Caenorhabditis elegans: one gene and its partners. The protein of the gene in region 4 interacts with the protein of the main gene of each other region in a pairwise test. Each region holds a gene or a part of one and is shown on either strand. Other genes may lie near its edges. The genes, in order: C05C10.5, nhr-49, gad-1 and F54D10.7.

Region 1 (4,987 bases), 6.1 Mb from region 4:
CATCGTTTCCAGCAGATAAAAAGTGAGAGCTTGATAATACGACGAGAGCTCGCACGACATCAGTATGGCCTTTGAAAACTGAGAGAGTGGTATCTCCAAACCACATACGAATTGTTTTATCAGCACTGGCAGATAGATAAGTGTTGGGAAGATCCGGGAAAGAAGCGAGAGCCCACACAGACAAGGTATGGCCTGGACAAACAATAGTCTGGAACTAATTTAACTTTAAAATCCAGTAAAAAACGATTAAAAATATATTACAGTGAATGACGACGAGTTCAACTCGGTAATCGGCCAGATGATGACGTTGGAATCCCACGAACCACTCAGCATGTGAGTCGCTTTTTCGTTAATGTGAAGACAGCAAACTGAAATTATTCATTTTGCACTTTTGAATATTTTTTAAAGCAAAAATACCATTCTGTTTATGCTCATTGAAAATTGCATATGGTTCCGCCTGACTCGGGCCAAAAACTGCAATTGTTCCATCTCTTCGGCCAACAAAAAGTCTCCATCCGTCCGCTAGTTCAGCGTATGCAATGGAGTTCACAGTTATTCCTTTCGGTTGTTCAAAGGCGTGCGTTTTCGTATACTGTTTTCCTTTTTTTGCCCAAAATTTAACCGTCTCATCACGACCACCCGATATCAAGCATCCGCCTTGAGTAACTGCCAAAGCCTTTGTGTCGGATTTGTGGGCTTCAATAACATGGGAAATTGTGTACTGTGGCATCTGCAAAATAAATTCCACTTCAATTCGGCAAATTCTAAAACTCACACTTTCCGTTTCCATTGGCACGTCACCGAGACCGTCATCTGCCATTATCTGAAGAATAGCTTTTAATTAAAGTTAATCAACAAAAAAATATAACGAAATTGAGAAAAATCCGAAAAAGTTTTGATGACAAACTGCAAACGATGCTCCGAACTAACGCCACATGGAAGAGGATTTCTACGACCCCGCAGTAGGCAAATTTGCGGGAATTCAAAATTTAACACTGATAGGATGCAATTTTTTGGAGAAGGGCATTCAGATTCGCTTAAATAAATATTTGAAGTTTCACAGAACATCAAGACTTTGCAAAGAGTGTTAAAAATTCAATAATTAAAAATAAATAATACTTTTATCGGCAAACTTTTTTTAATTTAGTAGGTTTTTTGAGAGCGAAATTTACATCGCACTAGATAGTCTCGAAACAGGAGTGATACCTTTTTAATTCTTCAAAAAAAAAACAAGAAAGGAACCGAGTTTGATAGACAATTGATTTATTTTTGTCCTACGCAAGTATAAATGGGGAAACGGTGTTGGTTCATTATAAAACAACATAAAAACGCTAAAACAGCGATACCAATAGACTACAAACATTAAACGAAAGTTATTATTGCACACAACTAATCAATGAGTGGGGTGGATTCAAGAAGATTGATTATATTAAGGAATTATAGGTATATCACAATTATGACTCATGGCAACAATAAGGTTTAGTAAATTTTTTAAAGATAAAAATGCGATCTCAACTGGAAAAATGTGGATAAAACGTTGAGGGGCAGCAATTTCAGTCCTGGGAATCATGTAGACAGATTGCCGACCTGTCTGAAGATTGATTTACCGCTATCCGGAAGTCGTCCCATTCGCTGCAGAATGATGTACTCGTCGGCTGCTGGAAGTGTATCCTCCGTTGGCATTTCGTCGAATGGCCCAAGATACCGGGTTTGCGATCTGAAAATTTTAATATTTAAATTGAGCCTAAAAACAGCTAGAAAATCCAAACTCACTTGGCAAAGAACTCTCCAGGTGTCAGAAGACCACGGAAGAAGCGATTGAAGTCCTTTGGAATCGCACGAACTCCTGGCAATTGTGTCGGGGAGAGTGCTCGACGACGTGGCTGCCCATTGTCGATATTTCCTGCACGCATATTCTCTTGATTTATGCGATTTGCAGCGTCTTGTGCTGGTCTTCTGGCGTCATTGGCGTTCAATTGCCGCAATGGACGCCGCTCTGGAAGTCGAATCGGAGCCACACGGTTGACACGTGGCGGCGGTGTCCGTCTGATCGCTCTTCTGACGTCTGGTGATGGTTCACGTGGTGGCGGGCTTTGCGATCTTCTGCGGTCAAGCCTGAATAATCTTATTATAGAAACAATTATATAACATTTTGGGACAAACAATTCTCTCCATCCCTTTTCGCTGAGCTCCGAGGCTCTGGTCCATCCACTGGGGAAGATTTGGAATGGATCTGCAGGCGGGGGACACAGAATATCAGCTTCTACCTGAAAATATAAATATTGTAAACGAATTTTAATTCAAGAACTCACAGCACGCAACTGGTCCCAGCGATTTCCATGAAAATGCTCCATAATTAGTGTGTGAAATAGGTGAGAGGGAGAAAAAATGGGTCTGTGGAATGAATGACAAGCGAAAATTTAAATGAAAAAATCAGAATTTTCCCGCGCATAATTTTAATTTTCGACTGATACACTTTCATCGGTAAAATAGAGGCAGATCAATAAAATAAGTAGGTCGAAAATAATTGTTTTTGTTTTTTTTTAAACGCGCGCGCACAAATAGTTCAAACACGATGACGCAAAAATACACAGTTTCGCAGTTTTTTTAAATTTCTTTTGTTTTACAACACTCTTTTCTGAAAAATGTCAGATTTTGACGATTCTGATTCAGAATTTCAAGGATTTGAGCTAAGGTTTGTTTTATTTTAATAACTAATAATAATTCTAATATTAACTTTTACAGATCACCTCAGATCCATGTAAAAGAATTCTTGATAGTCGAAGAAGAAACTCCAAAAATCATCAAAAAGGAAGAGGTTCCAAGGAAGTTCGAATCCGAGTTTGTTGGCTCATTTCTGGGAGAAAGTCCAGTTGTACTTTCAAAAGAAACAGCGTTTGGAGAAGCTGGAGAGTCGGAAGTTCTGGATTGGGATGCCAGTACAGTTTTCAACAGCCTAGCTTGCCCTGAAAACAACCTGTGCGTTTTTTAAAAGTATACATTTTATAAAGAATTAAATTTGCCTTTTTCCAGAGAAAAGTCAGTATGCGTCATTCGTCTCCACGACGTCCTCACAAAATCCGAAATGGGAGTACACAAAATGAAGCGACAACTTATTCATTGCGGGTCGGTCTTGGAAATCAAACTTTTCATCAATTGTCAATTTTAAGACAGCTCCTTGATGAATATTCTCCTCAACAACGTCGTGATTTGGGCTTTGATGATTCTCAAAATGTGAAGAATCTTCTTCAAATGATCCGAGCGTTCCGGTCAACTGTTAAAATCATGCTGATCGACGTGGAGGATCTTCAGGACCAGATTACACAAGAAGCGCAAGATGAGACCCCAATTATATCCAAATTTTCGAAACTTTTATACGTTTCCGGTGCATTAGCCGTCATTCCTATTTGTTGGTTTATGTACCGCAGATTTTGTTAAGTTATCTTTTAAATCTTGAATAAAAATTTAAAAAAAACATATGTTTTATTAAAATTGCTCTTATTCGTAACTATGTACGGATTTATATATATTTTTTTAATTGTACAATTCGCTAAAATGACAGTAAACTACATTTGAAAATTTTATTTAAAAAGAAGCTAACGTCAGTAGCACACTTGTGTCCTGGCCACCTGTCTCTGTTGCCCTCCCATCCTTATCACAGATCACACTTCAAACATCAAACTTCTCAAGGCAGAACTCCTCCCAAATATCACCCGAATTTTTCTTCTCAAAACTTTTCGCCAGTCTCACAACCACGTGTTTCCCAGACCTTCAGTTAACTTCACTTCTCATTTTCCCTGATTTTCTGTCTGCGTCTCTATAAAAAGTAGACAAAAAATGCGAAAAAGAAACGTTTTTGTGTACTCAAGTTGTGACACACTCGCTCAGACTATTGGCTACTGATGGTTTTTAGTTTTTTTTTTGCTTTAGACAATTCTACCTCTAAAAATTAAGATTTTATAACAGTTTTCTAAATTTTTATTAGTTCAGTGAATTTATCATGATTTTTCTAGAGCCCCATCGGAATTAACATTGAAAATTTTACCCAGACGCGTTATTTTTGCAACTTTTGTACTAAAAATACAGAACCCGGTCTCGACACTGCAAAGTTTGTTAATTGAAAAAATATGTGTACCTTTAAAGAGTACTGTAGTTTTAAAATTTCGTTGCAGCAAAATTTTTATATTTTTTCTCGCATTAAACTTTAACTGTTTTTATTGTTTTGTTTTAGTTTTCTTGATAATATTTTGAAATACTTGAGATAATTGAAAAACTGTGAAAAAATCTATGAAAATCATACAGAAACGATAGTTTGAAATTACCGTACATTTTAAAAGCGCACTCCTCTTCGCGTTATTACGGGAACAATAAATCATGAGAATGCGTACTTGGTACCGTAATAAATAAAAAATTGTCGTGTCGATACCGGGTTTTATTATTTTCAGTAAATGAGACGTTCCCATCACTAAAACGTTTTATTTGTACGTTTCCGCTACTTTATTGTAAATAATATTGATAAGAAATCAAATACGCAACACGGAAATTGTTATCGAGTATCAACACACAATTATAATCTTTTCTACTTAATACCGATTCCTTGTTCCACAAATTTGACTTTCTGGTTTTTCCATCTTATAATCCTAAATATATTGTTTCTTTTTCCAAAATTAAAAAAATTTTCATTCAGATAAAATGCCGATTCTCTCAAAAATATGGGCGGCTCCAGCAGCTGGAATCTTGAGAAAAACTCCGAGAAATGCTCATCAAATGAGGCTAATCTCAATGACATCCTCGATGAAAGCAAAAGTCTTTAACTCTGCCGAAGAAGCCGTGAAGGATATTCCAGATAATGCAAAGCTTTTAGTTGGCGGTAAGATTTGGAATTTTTTTATGTTACCAAAATTTTGCGATTTTTGCGCCAAAAATACGGTAAGTCGAAATTACAGTACTCTTTACCTTTTTGCATTCAACGAAAATGTTTGTGTTG
Region 2 (8,087 bases), on a different chromosome or scaffold from region 4:
TAGAAGATATGATCAAGCACTTGTCGCTGGATTTGAATTATTCTGTAATACTGGACCACTTTGCAATGAAATTATGCACGGAATAGCAGTTATTGTTGAAGAATGGAATGTTGATGAAGAAGATGGAGCTATTGGAGGACAAATGATGACTGCAATAAAAGCTTCATGCTCTGCTGCTGCTAAAAAACTTGCACTCCGCCTTGTCGCTGCCATGTACCGGTGTACTGTAACTACAGCCAGTCAGGCATTGGGAAAAGTTCATGCCGTTTTGTCACAAAGAAAATCGAAAGTAGGAATGGAGAATTGTAGAACATTTTCAAATATAGTTAGAGATTATAAATTTAAATATTTATATCCATCAGGGCAGTAGATTTTTCGCTTTTTTGAAGAAAAAAAACGATTCTATTTTAAAAACCGAAAATCCTGATAACTGATAAATTTAAATTTTACATGTTTTCAAAAAAAAAAAACACTAGAAAATTTAGAAAGAGTGCGATTTCGATGAAAATATTCAAGTTTTCAAAATAAAATTTCAAATTTACAAAAAATTAATTTTTAATTTTTTTTCCGAAAAAAAAATCCGAAATATTCTGATATAGCTCTAAAAATGACACTCGAAATTATGAAAAGTTAAATTTTGACCAAAATATTTAAGTTTTTCAATATATAATTTCAAATTTACAAAACTTTCCTTTTTTTTCAATTTTTCGGCTTCGAAAATTTCCTTTTTTTTGTTTTCGAATATAAACCTGAAATCCATGTCAATATTTAATGTGATTTGCCCATTGAGCATGTGAACGAAGTATTTAATTTTTGTAATTTTCGACGCATCTGTGCAAATAACGTATATATGGAGAGAATATAATGAATGAATCTTCTTTCCAACTATAATCTAAATAGATTTTATGGTTTAGTGTGCCGATTAAACAAATAAATACGGTATATCCAATCTCATTTATATGAGCATTTTGTTTCAAAAATTTCGAATTTTGACTATTACTTTAATGGCGTTGTATAAATACTAAATTTTAAATAAAAAATAATTTTGAATTCAGGTACTCTCCGAGGACATCAATGAAGCTACAAATTTATTCGAAGTGGTCTCCCTAATGCCCGTCGTCGAATCGTTCTCTTTCTGTGATCAACTTCGCAAGTTCACATCTGGAATGGCTTCTGCTCAACTTCAATTTTCTCACTGGCAAGTCATTGACGAGGATCCTTACTGGACGCCGTCTACATTGGAAGAAATTGAAGAATTCGGATTGAAGGGAGACAGTCCGAATCATGCAAGAGGATATATGGATGCAGTTAGAAGACGTAAAGGACTGCCAACCGAGGACCTGATTGTGGAGTCGGCGGAGAAGCAGAGGAATTTGAAAAAGAATAAATAATTTTTTTTTAGTTTCGTGATATTTTTTGTTGTTTGAATTTCCGGTTTTGACACATTTTAATCTTGTTGATTGTTTTACTTGTTTTTTTTTGTTCGTTTTTTTCAAAGAAATAATTAAATTGAAATCATCAATTTGAACTTTTCGAAAATATTTGCTCCAAAAATGTTAACTTATCATATAAGGCATATCTGAAACATTTTAATTTCACTCGGTTAACACTGTTTCATTCACGTGTGGTGGTGTCAACGACCTGATGGGTATAGCGTAGTACGGGAGAGAGGGTCGAGAGGAACTTTCTTACAATCTTTCTCTACCTCTTTTCATCTATTCATCTCTAAAGGTCTGCGCCTCTCCTGTTATCGATTGTCAACGTGCTGTGGGTGGTTGGCTGTCGTTGTTTGGTGTCTCTGTCAACTCCATTCTCTCTAGTTTTTCATATTTCTCGACATGTTTGACCAACCACTGTCTCTTTTTTGTCCTTCTAACCGACTGGCCTGCCAGCTTTAGCTTCTTCTTCTTTTTCACCATTTTCTTTTCTTTTTTTTTCGTTTCCTTTCTGTTTGCCAGTAGTTCAGCTTTTTTCCACAATCAAAAGTTCATAGATTTAATGACTGACTTTAAATGAGACGACGCCGGTCCCAATTAGCTTTGAGAGTACAAAGTACGGGGCATCGAACAACACTGAACTACATAATGTAGTCTCTCACTTCCTGTTTATATGGGGTGATTCGCAAACTCCTTGTATATACTCATCATTTTGTTAGTCAACTCATTCCGTTCTCACGATATGGACTACTTTCTTGATGCTTCTAAACATATTCAGTTGAATCAAATTGATGAAGAATCTTCAGATGATTGTAAGTAAGTTTTATAACGGACACATCAAGCGACATTGAAAGAAAGTCAACTTTTAAAATATCGACTTTCATGCCTTTTTGAATTTTCCACCAAACTGAGAACTACAAAACCAATCAGCGACTTGCTCATTGAAATCCAGAAATTAATAGAATGATTTTTGGATGGCTTCTTTGCAAAGTCCACTATATGGGTATATATGGATTTTTATACGTTCAAATAATATGTACATTTTTGAGTTTATTAACCTGGCTCTTCTAAAAGTTCTAAAGTAATTCAAATGCCCTTTCTCTTAGAACGTCATTCTTCGATGTGTCTCCTCATTTTCTACCAGAATTTACCAAACCCTACAACTGGATCCTCGTCGGTCACTTATTCGATGCATTACATCTCCTCGCTCCTTAGATATAGATCTTACGATCTTGGAGAGAAAAGGAACGACACTACTTAGCGCGACCGTCTATCTTATTCGATCCGTCGGACAAGATTGATCAAGAAGACTTTGAAATAGCATCCGCATTTAAGAATACCTCATTGGAGTGAGCAGAGAGAGAGAAAGACTACTGGAATCTTGCCGAACACATCGACCAGTTTTAGAGTGTGCCACATCAGTCCTTTTCTGATCTTCGCGTTTCCTTTTGTTTGCTCAAGACGGATGATTTCTCAATCTTCTCTACTTTCGCTACAATAGCAACACGTTTAGTCCTACACTACATCTGCTAAACTGGGAGGCTCGAAATTTCCGAGCTATCAAGTTTCGGCTTGCCCTTTCAATGTTCAAATTTCTACTTTTATTGGACTCGATTAGGATACTTTATTGAAAAACATTCTACATGAGCTTCGGTCTTTTTGAATATACGTTCAAAATTGTTCTATATTCAGAAACAATAAATTGAAAGTACCAAGTTTGTCCTTCTAGCAGTGGAAATTCTAATTATATGCTGCTGAATTATCTCCACATCCTCACCAATAAGGTCTAATATAAAACCTACAATTTCTGAACGCGGCCCATTCATCTGCCTAGTGGTCAATGCATCTCAATTGTGTGCACTTGCCGGTCCTTTATTATTAAGACAACATGCGTTCCACTCCTAAAGACACCATTGAAACACTATGACGTCATAGTCGATTTGCAATAGATACGGCAAATCGTTTTTTTTAATCCACCGTATCGTCAGGACATTTTACATTAGGCTTATCAATACTTATATTAAATTTTGTCTTATTTCTTGTGTGTCTATCATGTGTTAAAGCCATTGCATTGACTCTGATTTCTCTACTCGTCTGACACTCTCTCTACCTCCAACACTATTTCATCGTTTCCATGAACAAGTGACATTCGTCGTTTCTCTTTCACTTTGAAAACTTGCGTTGCTATCTGTTGTTTGGTTTTTTTCGTGTTTCATTTGTTTTTTTTGTTGTAAAAAGTTTAATTGTTTCAGTCATGGACCTAGTAGATCCTCTTGCGGAACCATGTGCCGTTTGTGGTGACAAATCAACTGGAACCCATTATGGAGTCATTTCCTGCAACGGGTGTAAGGTGAGAAGGGATAAATTATAAAATAATAAAAAATAAATTATATTTAGAATTATGTGAAATTATAAATTCAGTTCTCGTCACGAAAAATGATTTTGGAAATTATATTTTTTCCTTTTTTGAAAAATGAAAAATCTCAGTTTTTGCCACTTTTGGAAGTCGTTGATCAAAAAAATTGTTTCCTTATAATTTTATGGACTACTTATGTTTCAAATATTAATAATCAAACACTATAGGGATTCGATAAGCGACAGGGCTATAGTTTTCTCAAAAAGTGGCAAAAACTGTAATTGCCAGTTTTTACTGTCAATAAAAATTTTCTAACTTTTTTTGTTAACTTTGGTACCACAGGAGTAGTTTTTAAAAAACAATTTCCTCACTTTAAAGCAAAGTAATATTGACTCCACCTACAGTAACCCACGCTTTTCGCGCATGCTTTATTTGAAAACATATTGTTCGTGACGAGACCGAGTACTGTACTTTATGGTTGCAAAAGTTCGTATTAATTTAACTGGTTTTTGAAAGTTATGATTATCATCTCGAACTTTTTAATGATTTATCCCGCATTAATAAAACTCATGAATTTCAGGGATTCTTCCGCCGAACAGTTCTTCGTGATCAGAAGTTCACTTGCCGTTTCAACAAAAGATGTGTGATTGACAAAAACTTTCGATGCGCGTGTCGTTATTGTCGCTTTCAAAAGTGTGTACAAGTTGGAATGAAACGAGAAGGTATTCATTTCTCTTTCCGTTCAATATTTGAATATATCCAAAACACAGTGGCCTCATGTTTTTCACCAGTGACCTCTTTTCAATTTCGTCCGTGAAATGAGATCGGCCGCAAAAAAGATTCTAACTTGAGATATTGATTCGGAAATTTGCCCCGTTAACTCAGAATTTAGAATATATTCTTCTTTCTTTCCTTTTCCTGTCCGTAGATTCCATTTCAAAACACGATATTTCTAAAAAAAAATTGTTTCGTAGTTTTCTATCTAGAAAAAATAATTTTGGAGCAAAATATCGTATCTAATTCTACATACGTTTAAAATTTGGATGTTTTTTCATGTTTAATTCGTTATTTTAAAGAAGAAATAGAGTCATAATGACAGAACATAACTGTTAAAAATTGTATTAAATTTTGAATGATTTCTTTTTTTTTAAATTTACCAAAAAATTATATTGAAACAAAGCCACAATAAACATTACCGAAAAACGCAAAAATGTCGAAAATATAGTAAACTATAATTATATTTCATTCATTTTCGTGGGAATTCAAAAATACAAATTTTAACAACTATTTTCTGTCATTCAGGTCCATGTTCTATCATCTGAATCACATCCACGATCAATTCTACAATTTAATATATTTCAGCTATTCAATTCGAACGTGATCCTGTAGGTTCACCAACATCTGGAGCCAGTCTCAACGGGACTCCATTCAAAAAAGACAGAAGCCCCGGATACGAGAACGGAAACAGCAACGGTGTCGGATCAAACGGTATGGGACAAGAGAATATGCGAACAGTTCCACAATCCAGCAGTGTCATTGATGCTTTAATGGAGATGGAGGCTCGTGTCAATCAAGAGATGTGTAATCGATACCGAAGATCGCAAATCTTTGCAAACGGCAGTGGGGGGTCGAATGGAAATGACACAGATATTCAACAAGGAAGTGATTCTGGAGCATCGGCATTTGCACCACCAAACCGGCCATGCACAACCGAGGTAGTGAGTTGGATGGTACGTAAATTAAGAGGTCACATTGTTTTATTTTCAGGATCTGAATGAAATCTCCAGGACAACACTTTTATTGATGGTTGAATGGGCAAAAACAATTAATCCATTCATGGATCTTTCGATGGAAGATAAGATCATTCTACTGAAAAACTATGCACCACAACATCTCATTTTGATGCCAGCATTTCGAAGTCCCGATACAACTCGAGTTTGTCTCTTCAACAATACTTATATGACACGTGACAATAACACTGACCTCAATGGATTTGCTGCATTCAAAACAAGCAATATAACACCCAGAGTTCTTGATGAAATTGTCTGGCCAATGCGACAACTTCAGATGAGAGAACAAGAATTTGTATGTTTGAAAGCACTTGCATTCTTGCACCCAGAAGCCAAAGGACTCTCGAATAGCTCACAGATTATGATTCGTGATGCTAGAAATCGTGTTTTGAAAGCTCTTTATGCATTCATTCTCGATCAGATGCCAGATGACGCACCCACAAGATATGGAAATATTTTGTTGTTGGCACCGGCTCTCAAGGCTCTGACTCAGCTGCTCATTGAGAATATGACACTTACAAAGTTCTTCGGATTGGCAGAGGTATGAAAGCTTTTCTTGTTTGAATCCGTACATAAATGATAGCTTCAGGTGGATTCTCTGCTCTCCGAGTTCATTCTCGACGACATCAATGATCATTCGACGGCTCCGGTCTCTTTACAGCAACATCTTTCATCTCCGACAACGTTACCGACTAATGGGGTTTGTTTTTAATTATTTTATTAAACTTTTTATTCTAAAAAAATACAAAAATAGCGAAAACGGCCAATGATTTCAGGGAAAAACCGTAAAATTCTCTTTTTAAAAAAGATCTTCCATTTCAAAATTCATATTTTTCAGGTATCTCCGTTAAATCCAGCCGGATCAGTGGGAAGTGTTTCGTCTGTTTCTGGAATTACACCAACTGGAATGCTCTCAGCAACTCTTGCAGCTCCATTGGCAATTCATCCTCTCCAATCACAAGATTCCATTTTGAACAGTGAGCAGAATAATCATATGCTCTAATAATTCCATTTTTTCTCCCAAAACTCTTCACCTCATCTCATCTCCAGTTCTATTCCGAATCTGTGATCTTTCATCTTTTCCCTTATTGTTGTTTTGAATCATTACCCCCAATTTATAAAATAGTCCAGAGCCCAGCTATAATGTACATAACAAAAGAAGAATACCCTTCCGTCTCAGTAGTTGTTTCATCTTGAAACCTGTCTAGGCCATCTCTATATCATATCAGGTTATTGTTCTCGTCTCCCCCAACTCTTCTTCCTTAATCTTTTTTCCAGACGGGCTGGCTCTCGTTTATTCTTGTGATTATTATTGTCAATCAAATTATCAGTTTAGTACTTCAATATGTATAAGAAGTGACTGTCTTGGCATTTCCCATCTCTATTTAGAAGATTCCCTTCTTCCCATTTTCCTTCCTTCTTTTCAAGCGTTCGTACCAATTTATGTTTGCAAAAAGAAACTTTTATTTATACTTTTTCAAAGCTCATCGATAAAATACATTATTATACCATATTTTATTATTCGTATCAAATAAACACAATTGACTCATCATTATGAATTCACTCGAGAAGTTCAATGCCACGTCCTCCACCACCTCCACCAAGACCGTAAGTTTTATTGCAATTTAGAAATTTAGAAGAATTTACAAAAAGTATTGTTTTCCAAATGTTTGAGCACCTGGTGTGAGCTGCTGGAGGTGAAGCTGAGCTTTTTAGTTTTTTTTTTCAAAATTAGATTTTTTTAAATTGTTTATTTCTCTAAAACTCTTCAAATTGATGATTTTTGTTTTGATTTCAATTGACACGATCATCTAAATGATAGTGGATATATGACCATTTCCCAAGACACTTGAGATCAATTCAATGATCCGAACAGTGTACATAACGGGGTAAAAGTGATGATATGTCTATTGGAAGAGGGAAGATGAAGAAATTGTGAGCATTTAGGCTTAGGTGGGTGAGTTCACACCTCTTGGAGCACATACACTTCAGCCAGTTTTGGACATTTTATTTAGTTTTTTTGGGTTGCTTGTTTTGGTTTTTTGATATTCTTTCCATTCTGAGACAAGAATTTGGTAACTAACAATTAGTAGTAGATTTCAAAACGGTCAACATTTTATCTTTCTTTAAGATCTGTTCTTAAAATCAAATGTGAACCTTTAAAAAGTACCGTAACAACTTGTTTCAGTTTTCAATCATTTTTAAGAGAAAATTCTATTAAGAACTTGAGAGAAATTTTCAAAAATTGAAGAAAAGGTTAACTTCGGGAAAGTTGGTTACTGTACTACTTAAAGGCGCACACATTTTTGTGGCTTCAATTTGGAATAAAATCCATCGTGGTGAGACCTAGGCATACATCATTACATGTCTATCAATTCACTTTTTTCTATACTCAATCTTTATTTGTTCCTAGACCTCAAAAGAAATTAATTTTTCAAGTTATAGAGAATATTGTAAATCCGTAAAAATGTAGGACAGTTAGCCCGAAAATATTTATTTAAGGTT
Region 3 (6,002 bases), on a different chromosome or scaffold from region 4:
ATGGCGCTGAAAATGTTAGAAATTTGAATTTTATACTTGAAAATTCTAACTTACTCTTCTCAAATCCTTCCAAACAGCTTCTGACAAAGCCTCGCGGTTCTCCTCGATAAACTTTTTAAGTTTCAGAAGTTGTTGTTTTCTGAATTTGACTGGTTTTGTCTCTCCTGTACGGAAGTACTTGCGTTGGGTTTCCACTAGTTCGGTGAATGCCATTTCTGAAAAATCAGCAATGAAATTGAAGGAAAATTAAATTTATAGCGAGCGTTTTCAGAATGGTCAACGTGACCTTCAAGGGTCAGCCTGGGGTTATATACTGCCTAGTTATCATTATCAAACGCAGTTGCCTAAATAAATTTTCTGGTAGATGATGTATGTTTCATGAAGGACAGAGAAGGCGGAGGGGGGCAAGTCAACGAAAAAAAAACGATATTCGGAGACGAGAAGGAAGCGGTCAGAATAATGATGATCACATGACGACAGTCGCGCAAACAAGTAACCAATCATATAGAGAAATGCCAAAATATTTTAATCGCCGTTAGCAAAATATTTCGTGAAATTGAAGTCTAGAAAACTGATGAAATCTAAGTTTCAGTTATCAACTGCCGAAATTTGGAATGATGATTTGTTGGAAACGTTTTTGTCTATAACAATTTAGATGTATACAACTCATTGAAACATTAAAATACGTTCAGTATAAGAATTTACGCAAATCTAAAAACAATAGACATTTTACAAAGTTAGTTAGGTTTGAATGATGTCACTATTTCTATTTAATTGGGAGGGTGGAGATTGTTTTCGGGTATAGTGTGAGATCTAGGCGCAGTTCAATTCAGTGATCAACTTGTGGTCAAGTATGTAGATGAAACTTCATACGACTTGACTCATTTTATAGATTGATCTCAAGTCTAATCTCGAAAAAATGTTAGATTTATGTTTTCAACCGTAACCTATCATTATTTTAACAGACAGAAAGTTCGACCAAAAAGAAGATAATTATCGATATAACCGTCGAGAACTTGGATGTTTCTCGGGAGGGAAAGGGAAACTTCAAGGACGAAATTTCACGGCGTTGTTTTGTTTGCTACTAGCTACAATTTCTCGGCACTGAAACAGGAAGAAAATGTGAAAAGGAAATTGTAGAGTAAACAGTTGTGGAACTGTAATTTCGGATTGCATGTTTGTTCTACACACTTCAGCAAAAAGTGACCCTTTGAATAGGCTGCACATGGTATCAGTTGTGGGAAAATGTATGATAAGAAAGAAATGGAATGGAGGCCATGTCAATAATTTCTTCTTTAAATATAGTTTTCTCAATTTTTGGAATTAAATCCATAATAGAAACGTTTTTAAAAATACAGTTTCAGGTTTTTGGATTAGGAGATCAAAAGCGAAACATCCGAACCGGGTTCAATTTTAAAAGTGAACCTGATCCCGATTGGATACAATTCTTGCGGCAAAAGTGTAGCCATCGTCCACCGGACACTGACACAAACGACCACATATTGTTGAAATGGGGGGGAGTTGGAAGAATGGGAAAGATAGAAGTGAGCAGCATGCTAGAGTGTAGCTAGCGTTAGATATTTGGACAAGACAATGACTATGGCGAACACACAATTTCTCCAACATCATGTGATCATTGACTCTATATTTATTGGGACACAAAAAATAGAGAAAAAAATAGGAAAACAATATTACAAGAGGGAGACAGACAGATGAAAAACAAAAAATTAATGCAACGACTACTTCGTTCTCGGCATTTTGAAGACAGGCTGTAGCTCTTCGTCATCTTGATCTTCTGGCTCGACTGCAGTTTCTTGGAAAATCTTCTTTGGCTGTGTCTTTCGATACGCTTTATCAATGTACAATGGATTCTCTTCGGCGTCTTTAGCATGTTTCAGGATGCTTGCACGAACATCGGTATCTTTTAGGAACTCGGCATTACGAGCAGTTCCGATTTGCTTTGCCAAATACGAATGAAGACTTCCACCACTTGCAGCCACACGTCCATTTGCGCTCTTTCCGTTGATAGGCATATCTGCAGGCTTCCGGAACTCGGGACGAAGCTTGTTATCCTGCATTCGGAGATACTTCTTGATTCTCCATCCAGTGACTTCCTTTTCTTCTCCTTCCTCTCCGCGCGGTTGGAACATTTCGAGGGAAAGAGCTGAAATATGAAGATAAATATTTTTCGAAAAAAATTGTTTAACTTACGAGAAAGAACCATATCTTCTCGAACAACTTCAGATGCGCGATTTCTTTTGAGTGGCTTCGTCACACATGACATAACTCCTCGCTGTGACATCGTTTGATCGTAGTACACGTGAATGGTGCCATCCGAGAGTCCAGCGATAATTTGATTCAATCGCGGGTGCCACTGAATTCGGTGGCACGAAATTCCAGGGTAATCAATTTTATAGACAAGATCAAATGTCATTGGATCAAAGAATTGTAATGTTCCAGGTGTATCCTTGTTGGGTGACGATGTACCAGTGAAGACAACCTCGGCACGAGGGGAGAATCCGCAATCAGTACTACAAAAAATATACTTATGGTGAAGTTTTTAATAGAAGGATACCTTTTGAAAGCGTTTTCGAGACCGGTTTTCACAAGAAGCGGCTCTTTTGGGTTATCTAAGCTCCACATCTTCAGAGTGTCATCAAAACCTCTAGACAGTAATCTCTTTGAATCGGGCGAAAAAGCAATAGAAGTAATCGAGCCGTTGTGAGCTTTGCGTACAAGGTAATTTACATTGACCTAAAATTAAAATATGAGAATAAACAGTGTTTTTGAACTTCAACTTACATATTGCGATCCATACTTCCATGCTTGAACAGATCCGTCATCACAACCGGCGGCAATCCATTTTCCGTCAGGAGAAAACGTGCAAACTTGCGGGCTGACACGTTTTCCATTAGCTCCTTTTGTTTTGATGACTTTCCTGTGCTTGTTGATGCATTTGGTGATTACTTTATGATCATCGAGGTTCCATAGTCGTAGACTTCCATCATCAGAACAAGAGATAAACTCGTTCTTGTTTAGTGGATTGAATTCGACACAGTTAACTGTTGCTGTGTGTCCTTTAGTGATGTTTAAATCAATAATATACTGATCTCCACGAACTGTTTCAGACCATTGTTTTCCTGCTCGATCCAGTAGGCGAATGATAGCTTCTCCACTAGCTACTACAAGAGTTTCGCCGTTCGGAGAGAATGCCAGGGAATTGATAACGTGACTTTCTGCAGGCAGAAGCTCTTTGTCGTATCTCATTGACATGTCCATTTTTTGAAAATCGAACAGCTTCACGTAATAGTCAAGCCCTCCACTGGCAAACCGAACACCAGGAGGCTCAACCCGAAGTGCACTGATGGCTTGAGTGCCATGGCTGATCTTCGCTTCACATGCAGCTGGAATCAGTTTGATGATGGAGATTGCTTCTGTCTCGTCAAAATCGCTATCATCACTATCTTCGGGACCTTCAGCTCGAGACGAGGAGGGGCCCGCTTCAGACTGTTGCATTTGGAATCCTGGAGGTAGATCTGGCATGAAATCTGGAAAAAACAAATTTGAAATAATTAAAACATTATATTCGGCTTACCATCTTCATCATCAGATACAGCTGAAGAAGAAACACCAGATTCTGATTTAGAAGACACCGATACCGACTGCGGAACGTGAGTTGGTTCCTCAGTTCTGGGAGCATTGCTTATCGTTTGCGCGAACATTGCTTGGAGGTCAAAGACGCGTGCCTTCTTTTCAGAATTCTTTTTTGGAGCCGTATTATCATCCATTGTGGTGATCTGAAAGAATTATTGAAATTCGTTTTCATCTATTAGGCGGTAACGGGAAAAAAAGAGTTAATAACGAAAAGAAACGTGTAATACAACCAATATAATGAACTGCCGTGGTACATATATAATATTTTGGCGAAAAAAACTAATAAATTCTGGAAACAGTCCTGGAGTTCTGATGAAAGCTGAAAAATGTTTTCGAATTTCGAACATTGAGGACGTGGCTGACTTGTTTCGGAGACTAGGCCGCGGAGAAAGTGTGGACAATCGGACATTACTTCGCGCCGAGACCCTTCCACAAACCGTATTCGTGTTCCTTGGCACCATTTAAATTCTTTTCCCATTTTCAGTTTTTAAAGTTTTTACGCGTCATCAATTATCGATTTTTGCAGTTTAAATTGTTCAGAAATGTTTTATTCATCATTTTGTCATTGCTCAGAGAAAACGAAATACATTTTCTTCTAAAAAAATCAAATTGAAACCATTGCAACATGTTGCACAATATTCTAATTTTCCATCACAACTCTGTGCAATGTAGAATAACCAGTTCTCTATAAATATCTTTTTTTTCGCATTTTTGAGTTTCTTCCCCGAATTAATTACTTTAACTCTCTTTTCGTGTTTTATATAATACAATTACAGGTAATCGGTGACGTGCAGCACAAATAGAATATGAGCGCTCCCGCAGCAGGTGCTACCGCCGGAGGCGATGACGCCGCCGATAGAAATGTCGAAATGTGGAAAATTAAACGGCTCATCAAAAGTTTGGAATTAGCCAGAGGGTAACTATTTTCGTGAAGCGTTTATTTTACATTTGTTTTTTTACAGAAATGGAACTTCTATGATTTCGCTGATCATTCCACCAAAAGATCAAGTGGCTAGAATCCAGAGAATGTTGGCCGAAGAGTACGGAACGGCATCTAACATCAAGTCTCGTGTCAACAGACTTTCCGTTTTGGGAGCTATCACATCAGTACAGGGAAGATTGAAACTCTACAACAAAGTCCCACCAAATGGATTGGTCGTTTACTGTGGAACAATCATGACCGACGAAGGAAAGGAAAAGAAAGTTAACATTGATTTTGAGCCATTCAAAGCAATCAATACTTCATTGTATCTCTGCGACAACAAATTTCACACCGAAGCTCTTCAAGGTATTTCTAATTTTCATCATGCATCATAAAATATACCATTTTTCAGGTCTTCTTGCTGACGATAACAAGTTCGGATTTATCATTATGGATGGAAACGGTTGTCTGTTCGGAACACTCCAAGGAAACACTCGTGAAGTTCTGCACAAGTTCACTGTCGATCTTCCAAAGAAGCACGGTAGAGGAGGTCAATCTGCTGTCCGTTTTGCTCGTCTCCGTAATGAGAAGCGGCACAATTACGTCCGTAAAGTAGCTGAAAATTCGGTGGAACAATTTATCAAGAACGACAAGGTTACAGTTGCTGGACTTATTCTTGCTGGTAGTGCAGATTTCAAGACAGAGTTGGGACAATCTGATATGTTTGATCAAAGACTTCAAGCCAAGATGATCAAGACTGTCGATATTGCTTATGGTGGTGAAAATGGTTTCAACCAAGCTATTGAACTTGCTGCCGATACGCTGGCAAGTGTTAAGTTCATTCAGGAAAAGAAACTGATTGGTGGATATTTCGATGAAATCAGCCAAGACACTGGAAAATACGTTTTCGGAGTTAAAGACACTCTTGCCGCACTTGAAATGGGAGCTATTGAAACTCTCATCTGCTGGGAGAATTTGGATATTGTTCGGTACAAGATGAAAAATTCACTCGGAGAGGACATTCTTCTGAATCTGAGACCTGACGAGGAGAAGGACAAATCTCATTTCACCGACAGTGAAACTGGACAAGATATGGAAATTATTGAGACTATGCCACTTTTGGAATGGTTTGCTAATAACTACAAGGTGGGCGCTCGCTTTATCGAAATTTAATTTTTTATTAATGTTTTGTAGAACTTCGGAGCAGCTTTGGAAATCGTCACAGATAAGTCGCAAGAAGGAGCCCAGTTTGTTCGAGGATTCGGAGGTATCGGAGGATTGCTCCGTTATCGCGTTGACTTGGCTCATGTAGACCTTGAAGACGAGCTCGACAACATTGACCTTGATGACTATTGATCACGGGCGGCAGTAGTGAGCCATTGGGCGCCATACTCGTTTCTTTTGTTATTTAAGCTTGTATCCTCTT
Region 4 (5,012 bases):
ATATTTTCAAAAAGCACAAGCATTTCTCTATATGTCTATATAAACTTTCAAACAAAAAAAATATAGGGAAAGACGCTAAGTGGAGCAAATATCCTCCAAAACTCGCTAAACTGAGCATCTTCAAACTAGCGTATCTCAAAAAATACTCATCTGGAAAACAAATATTCAACTAACAAAATGATCAGAAATATTTTTTCTTTTTATTAAATTAATTGTTATTTTAATAAACCCACTATTTGTAGAGCCACACAGAGTCAAAGCCATTTTCCAAAATTCACAAAAAATTTTGAGAACTCTTTTGTTGTACCCGTCATAACCCAACATTCATTGAATTTCAGAAGAAAACTTTTAATTAGTTGTATGTGAAAAATATTTTTCCACATTTTATCAGTTTCAAGTTTTTTGATATTTTCATGTTCCGTCAAGTTATAGACCGTTTTCTGAAAAAAATCAAGTTTTGCTCATAAAACTCTTCATATCCAACGTATCGACTTGAAATTTTAAAAAATGCTCACTTTTTTGAGGTCTCTACAATGTCCTAAAAAATCTTTCAAAAAAGCCTGTCCATCTCCAAAATCGTCCTCCGCTCCAAAATAAGAAATGGGACTTTTGCTTTTCGAAAAATAGGCGAAAAAATTAAATTGCGATTTTTGGGTCGAAAAAAATATTTTTAGAAAGCTGAGAACACGCTATTTACGAATTTCATGTTCATTTTAGGTGGTTCCTTTTCTGAAATGACCTAAAAATTTAACAAAAAGAACATAATTTTAATTCTCACGTCAATTTTTTATTCGCAAGAAAACAATTGAAGCACTGAGCAACATGCCAAAAAATTTTACGTGAGAATTAAAATTATGTTCTTTTTGTTTAATTTTTAGGTCATTTCAGAGAAGGAATCAATTAAAATGAACACGAAATTCGTAAATAGCGTGTTCTCAGCTTTCTAAAAATATTTTTTTCGACCCAAAAATCGCAATTTGATTTTTTCGCCCATTTCTCGAGAAGCAAAAGTCCGATTTCATTTTTCGGAGCGAAGGACGATTTTGGAGATGGGCAGGATTTTTTGAAAGATTTTTTAGGACATTGTAGAGACCTCAAAAAAGTGATCATTTTTCAAAATTTCAAGTTTTTACGTTGGATATGAAGAGTTTTATGAGCGAAATTGGATTTTTTCGAAAAACGGTCTGTAACTTGGCGGAACATGAAAATATCAAAAATCTTAAAACTAATAAAACGTGGAGAAATATTTTTTACTTTTTATCCAACAAAATTTATCTTTTCAAATTTGATGGGCGTAGGGTTATGACGGGTACAGCAAAGGAGTTCTCAAAATTTTTTGTGATTTTTGGTAAAATGGCTTTGATGTCTCTACTTAACTCTACAAAAAGTTGGTGTATTGAGATAAAAATTAATGAATTAAAAAGAAAAAATATTTCTGATCATTTTGTTAGTTAAACATTTGTTTTCCAGATGTGTATTTTTCGAGATACGTCAGTTTGAAGATGCACAAAAAAAATCAATTTTAAAACAAATTAAAATCATCATTATTGGCAGCAGAGAGTCTCTGCTGCCAATAATGATGATTTTGGGGTGTGCGGCAAATTTGCCGAATTTGCCGAATTTGCCGAGCACGGCAAATTTCAAAAAAGTAGATTTGCCGAATTTGCCGAGCTCGGCAAATTTCGAAATTTGCCGCATACGTCAAAAATTTGACAGTACAATGTTGACTAAAACTGTTGATTTTTTCGCCAAAAATTTAGTAAAATGACAACAAATTGAGTTATTTTGATGTTTAAGCAGACACACTACACCTAACTTGTTCAGAAACCAGAGGTGTGTTAAGAATTCAGTAGTTTTGGTGCTCCAAAAAATATCAAAAAATATATAATTTTTCCGAGTTTGTTAAGCACGGCAAATTTGCCGAATTTGCCGAATTTGCCGTGCTCGGCAAATATTGGAAAAATAGATTTGCCGAATTTGCCGAGCTCGGCAAATTTTGAGATTTGCCGCACACCCCTGGCAGAGACGGTAGACGGCAAAGAAAGAAATGCTATCTGAGTTTGCCATCTTTAGAGTATGACCGGGACTTTGCAAAATGGTCTGGGCCGGAAAGGAAATGAAAACTCGAAATTTTTATTTAGTAACTGATCGTTGAAAGATCACGTACATATTAGATGACAAGTTGCTCCGCTCATATATTGAGTTTCTGCATTTTTCATCTGTAAGGCGCAGGACAACTACATTTTTTGTGGTTCTTTGTTTTAATAATCTTCAAAAATGCCAAAAAAAAATTGATCTCCCCGCCGCGCACCAATAAAGTGGGTCACTTGCCACGAGGCGATTTCCGATCCCCTTTTACAATCGGTATGCAGGGGAGAGGCTCATTCTCTCATTGATTTGTTTTTTTGTGTGTCCTTTTCCCGTTTTTCTTGTTATTTTAAAATTTAATTAAATTCCAGAAAATAACCTCTGCAATGCCCCCAACTGTTGGAAAATCTACCAATAAAGATGGACCGTCGGATTTGATGTCGGCGTTTGAAAATTTGCGATCTGAAACTGCTGGAATCAATAATTTCCTTGAGAAAGTTTGAATTTGAATTGTATCGGCCTTATTAATATTTATTCCAAATTCCAGGGTCCCACCATCGGTTCGATCACGTCCTTGAGCATTTCCAAATTTGACAAGTTTTGTGAAAATCAGGATAAAGTCAACCAGAAACTGATGCTAGCGATTCAGAAAATGTCCATCGAACGTTCGAAGCGTCAGAAGATCCAAGACGCTTTCAACAAAGAAATGCTCGACGCAATCAGATCTATGAAGAAGGCGTTTGCTCGGGAGAAGGAGGAGTTCAGCGATGATTTGGAGATTTTCAAGGAGGAGCTGTTTGAGAAGCTTGATGAGGATAATGAGACCTCTGAAGACGAAGATGAGGAGGAGGAGAATGATGTTTTGGATGCGATCAAGTTGCTCCAAACTGGACTCGATGCTATGAAAGAGGCACAGAGGGAATTTTTCAAGAAAGTGACTGAGGATACTCAAGCCATCCGGAGAAAGGTAATTTTATGAGATGATTGTGTTCCTTACTTGAGGCTTAGGCTTAATCTTAGGCATAGGCTTAATCTCATGTTCGGCAAACGGCAAATCGGAAACTTGCCAGAAACGGCAAATCGGCCAACCGGCAATTAACCGATTCGCCGAATTTGCCGACAAAAAAATTTGTCAATTGCCGCCCACCCCTGGCCCGTAAATTTAGCAAAAAAATTATTCAGATTGGCTCGAAAAACATAAAGTTCAATGTTATCCTTCACGGAAGCCGAATCCCGATGGAACTGGACTCCCTTGACACAATCTACACGGTCGGAATGGCCCTCCTGAAGCACGGTGGCCTCGCACTGCATCGCCAACGTCTCATGCTCAATGACAAGGAGCTTCAGTATAATCAAACTCTTGAGGAAGCTGGAATTAAGGACGGTTCTGTCATCAAGCAACATACTGATGAAAAGTGTGATGAAGATTGTGAATGTTGTTGTTAATTTATTGAACTTTATTGTTGAATGTGGATATTATTATTATTTGATTAAAAGAAAGATAAATGTTTTATTCAAAAAAACGTGAATCAATTAATTTTTCTGCTACCAATTAAATTCATTTCTCCAAATCTCGGCGACCATGTCGAATTTCCGCTCGGACAATTTGATGTCTGAATTCCAAAAACTTCGCATGGAGACTGCAGATATTGGTTTGGCTCTTGGAAAGGTAACACTTATTTTGTTAGCACCTAATAAATTCTACTTTTCCAGAAGCCAGAAAACTCGGGCATTGTATCCGATTCGCAGCTTGAGAAAGTCATTGAAGAGCAGACAAAACTCAACAAGGAAATCATGGAAGCCGTTCGAAAACTGGAAGTCGAGCGAAAGGAACATCAGGCAAATCAAGAAAAATTCAATAAAGCAATGATGGAGGCTTTTCAAAAACATCGTGATGAAATGAAGGAGAGCATCCATTAAGAACGAAATTTCTCGAAAACCAGAGGCTGCTGTACATGAAAATTTGCCGACGAACGACGCGAAAATCCTCTTCCAACTGACACGTGACGGCAAGCGCGAATGGAGTGAAGCTTTGAAACAGTTCCTATTTGAAACCGAACTCGCAATCAAGAAAGATACCCAGTTGTTTCCAGGGGCGCCGATAGACAGAGAAGAAATCCGTTTCAATGGTGAATGTTTTTTCAACACATTTTCACGTTGTGTGTATCGCGTTTCTGCTGAATTTTAGGGATTTTAAAGCAATTTTCAACAAGCGGGACCGCCCAGAGACTGTTCGCGATGCGATTTACTTAATTTTAACATAAATTTTTCCCCAAATAAGCTCGAAATGAGCTCTGAATTTCGGCGAATCTGAAATTTTTTTTTGACCAAAAACAGAATTTTGCAAATAAAAATTGATTTTAGAGCAATTTATTGCATAAATGTTTAATTTTAGAATTTTTATTATTAGTTTGAATCTTTTTAAAAAGTTTTAGTCATTAATTTGACTGATAACACCGAAAAATGATTTTTCTTTACAACGAAATCGATAAAAAAGTAAAGCAACATTTATCAAGGGAAATCTTGCAAAATTTGTTTAAAAACTTTTATGAAATCAAAGATTTCAATAGAATAAAGCTATAAATCAAGCAAAATCACTAAAAATACAAATAGTTCTGATCAAATTTCAATGTTCCAATCTACCAAGTGATCTGTGATACGCCAAGTTTCTTATGTAAGTGTTGCTTTCCAATTTTCCTTAAAAATGGCTCAAATACTTACACAAATGATCAAATTAACATTTTTTACAAGTTTCGTGTTATATTTTCTTTTCCTTAATAAGGAACCATCAGATTCTTCCTACCCTCTACGGCTCTAGATACCTTAACTTCGACAACTCCTATCTTTTCGGAGAGGCGAGATATGAAAAAGTGATCAACTGAAAACTTGTAGAGCACATCAAAAACTATGATATTCAATTTAAA

Evidence for each region.
Region 1: the proteins of F54D10.7 (region 4) and C05C10.5 interact in a two-hybrid assay, tested with the Caenorhabditis elegans proteins (2 studies listed by BioGRID).
Region 2: the proteins of F54D10.7 (region 4) and nhr-49 interact in a two-hybrid assay, tested with the Caenorhabditis elegans proteins (2 studies listed by BioGRID).
Region 3: the proteins of F54D10.7 (region 4) and gad-1 interact in a two-hybrid assay, tested with the Caenorhabditis elegans proteins (2 studies listed by BioGRID).

Annotation. Positions count from the first base shown.
Region 1 is NC_003280.10:9,936,594-9,941,580, reverse strand, and holds C05C10.5 (uncharacterized protein), read right to left. Parts: upstream 2,542-4,987; 5' UTR 2,355-2,541; coding exon 2,313-2,354; coding exon of another isoform or gene 2,309-2,312; intron 2,268-2,308; coding exon 2,164-2,267; intron 2,116-2,163; coding exon 1,774-2,115; intron 1,718-1,773; coding exon 1,567-1,717; 3' UTR 1,149-1,566; downstream 1-1,148. Other genes in the region: ufd-3 (Ubiquitin fusion degradation protein 3 homolog), read right to left, coding at 1-214, 262-368, 418-730, 776-820; C05C10.7 (uncharacterized protein), read left to right, coding at 2,646-2,695, 2,746-2,979, 3,034-3,126, 3,171-3,438; C05C10.3 (putative succinyl-CoA:3-ketoacid coenzyme A transferase, mitochondrial), read left to right, coding at 4,693-4,870.
Region 2 is NC_003279.8:9,867,540-9,875,626, forward strand, and holds nhr-49 (Nuclear hormone receptor family member nhr-49), read left to right. Parts: upstream 1-2,178; coding exon 2,179-2,248; coding exon of another isoform or gene 2,249-2,252; intron 2,253-3,688; coding exon 3,689-3,786; intron 3,787-4,372; coding exon 4,373-4,514; intron 4,515-5,154; coding exon 5,155-5,510; intron 5,511-5,559; coding exon 5,560-6,123; intron 6,124-6,171; coding exon 6,172-6,282; intron 6,283-6,420; coding exon 6,421-6,585; downstream 6,586-8,087. Other genes in the region: K10C3.5 (Elongation factor-like 1), read left to right, coding at 1-289, 1,056-1,391.
Region 3 is NC_003283.11:6,429,700-6,435,701, forward strand, and holds gad-1 (Gastrulation defective protein 1), read right to left. Parts: upstream 3,798-6,002; 5' UTR 3,789-3,797; coding exon 3,596-3,788; intron 3,549-3,595; coding exon 2,803-3,548; intron 2,755-2,802; coding exon 2,576-2,754; intron 2,532-2,575; coding exon 2,212-2,531; intron 2,165-2,211; coding exon 1,740-2,164; 3' UTR 1,621-1,739; downstream 1-1,620. Other genes in the region: alh-4 (Aldehyde dehydrogenase), read right to left, coding at 1-6, 55-213; erfa-1 (Eukaryotic peptide chain release factor subunit 1), read left to right, coding at 4,461-4,570, 4,617-4,942, 4,989-5,722, 5,771-5,932.
Region 4 is NC_003280.10:3,818,744-3,823,755, reverse strand, and holds F54D10.7 (Ubiquitin-like domain-containing protein), read left to right. Parts: upstream 1-2,459; 5' UTR 2,460-2,474; coding exon 2,475-2,585; intron 2,586-2,635; coding exon 2,636-3,055; intron 3,056-3,270; coding exon 3,271-3,534; 3' UTR 3,535-3,607; downstream 3,608-5,012.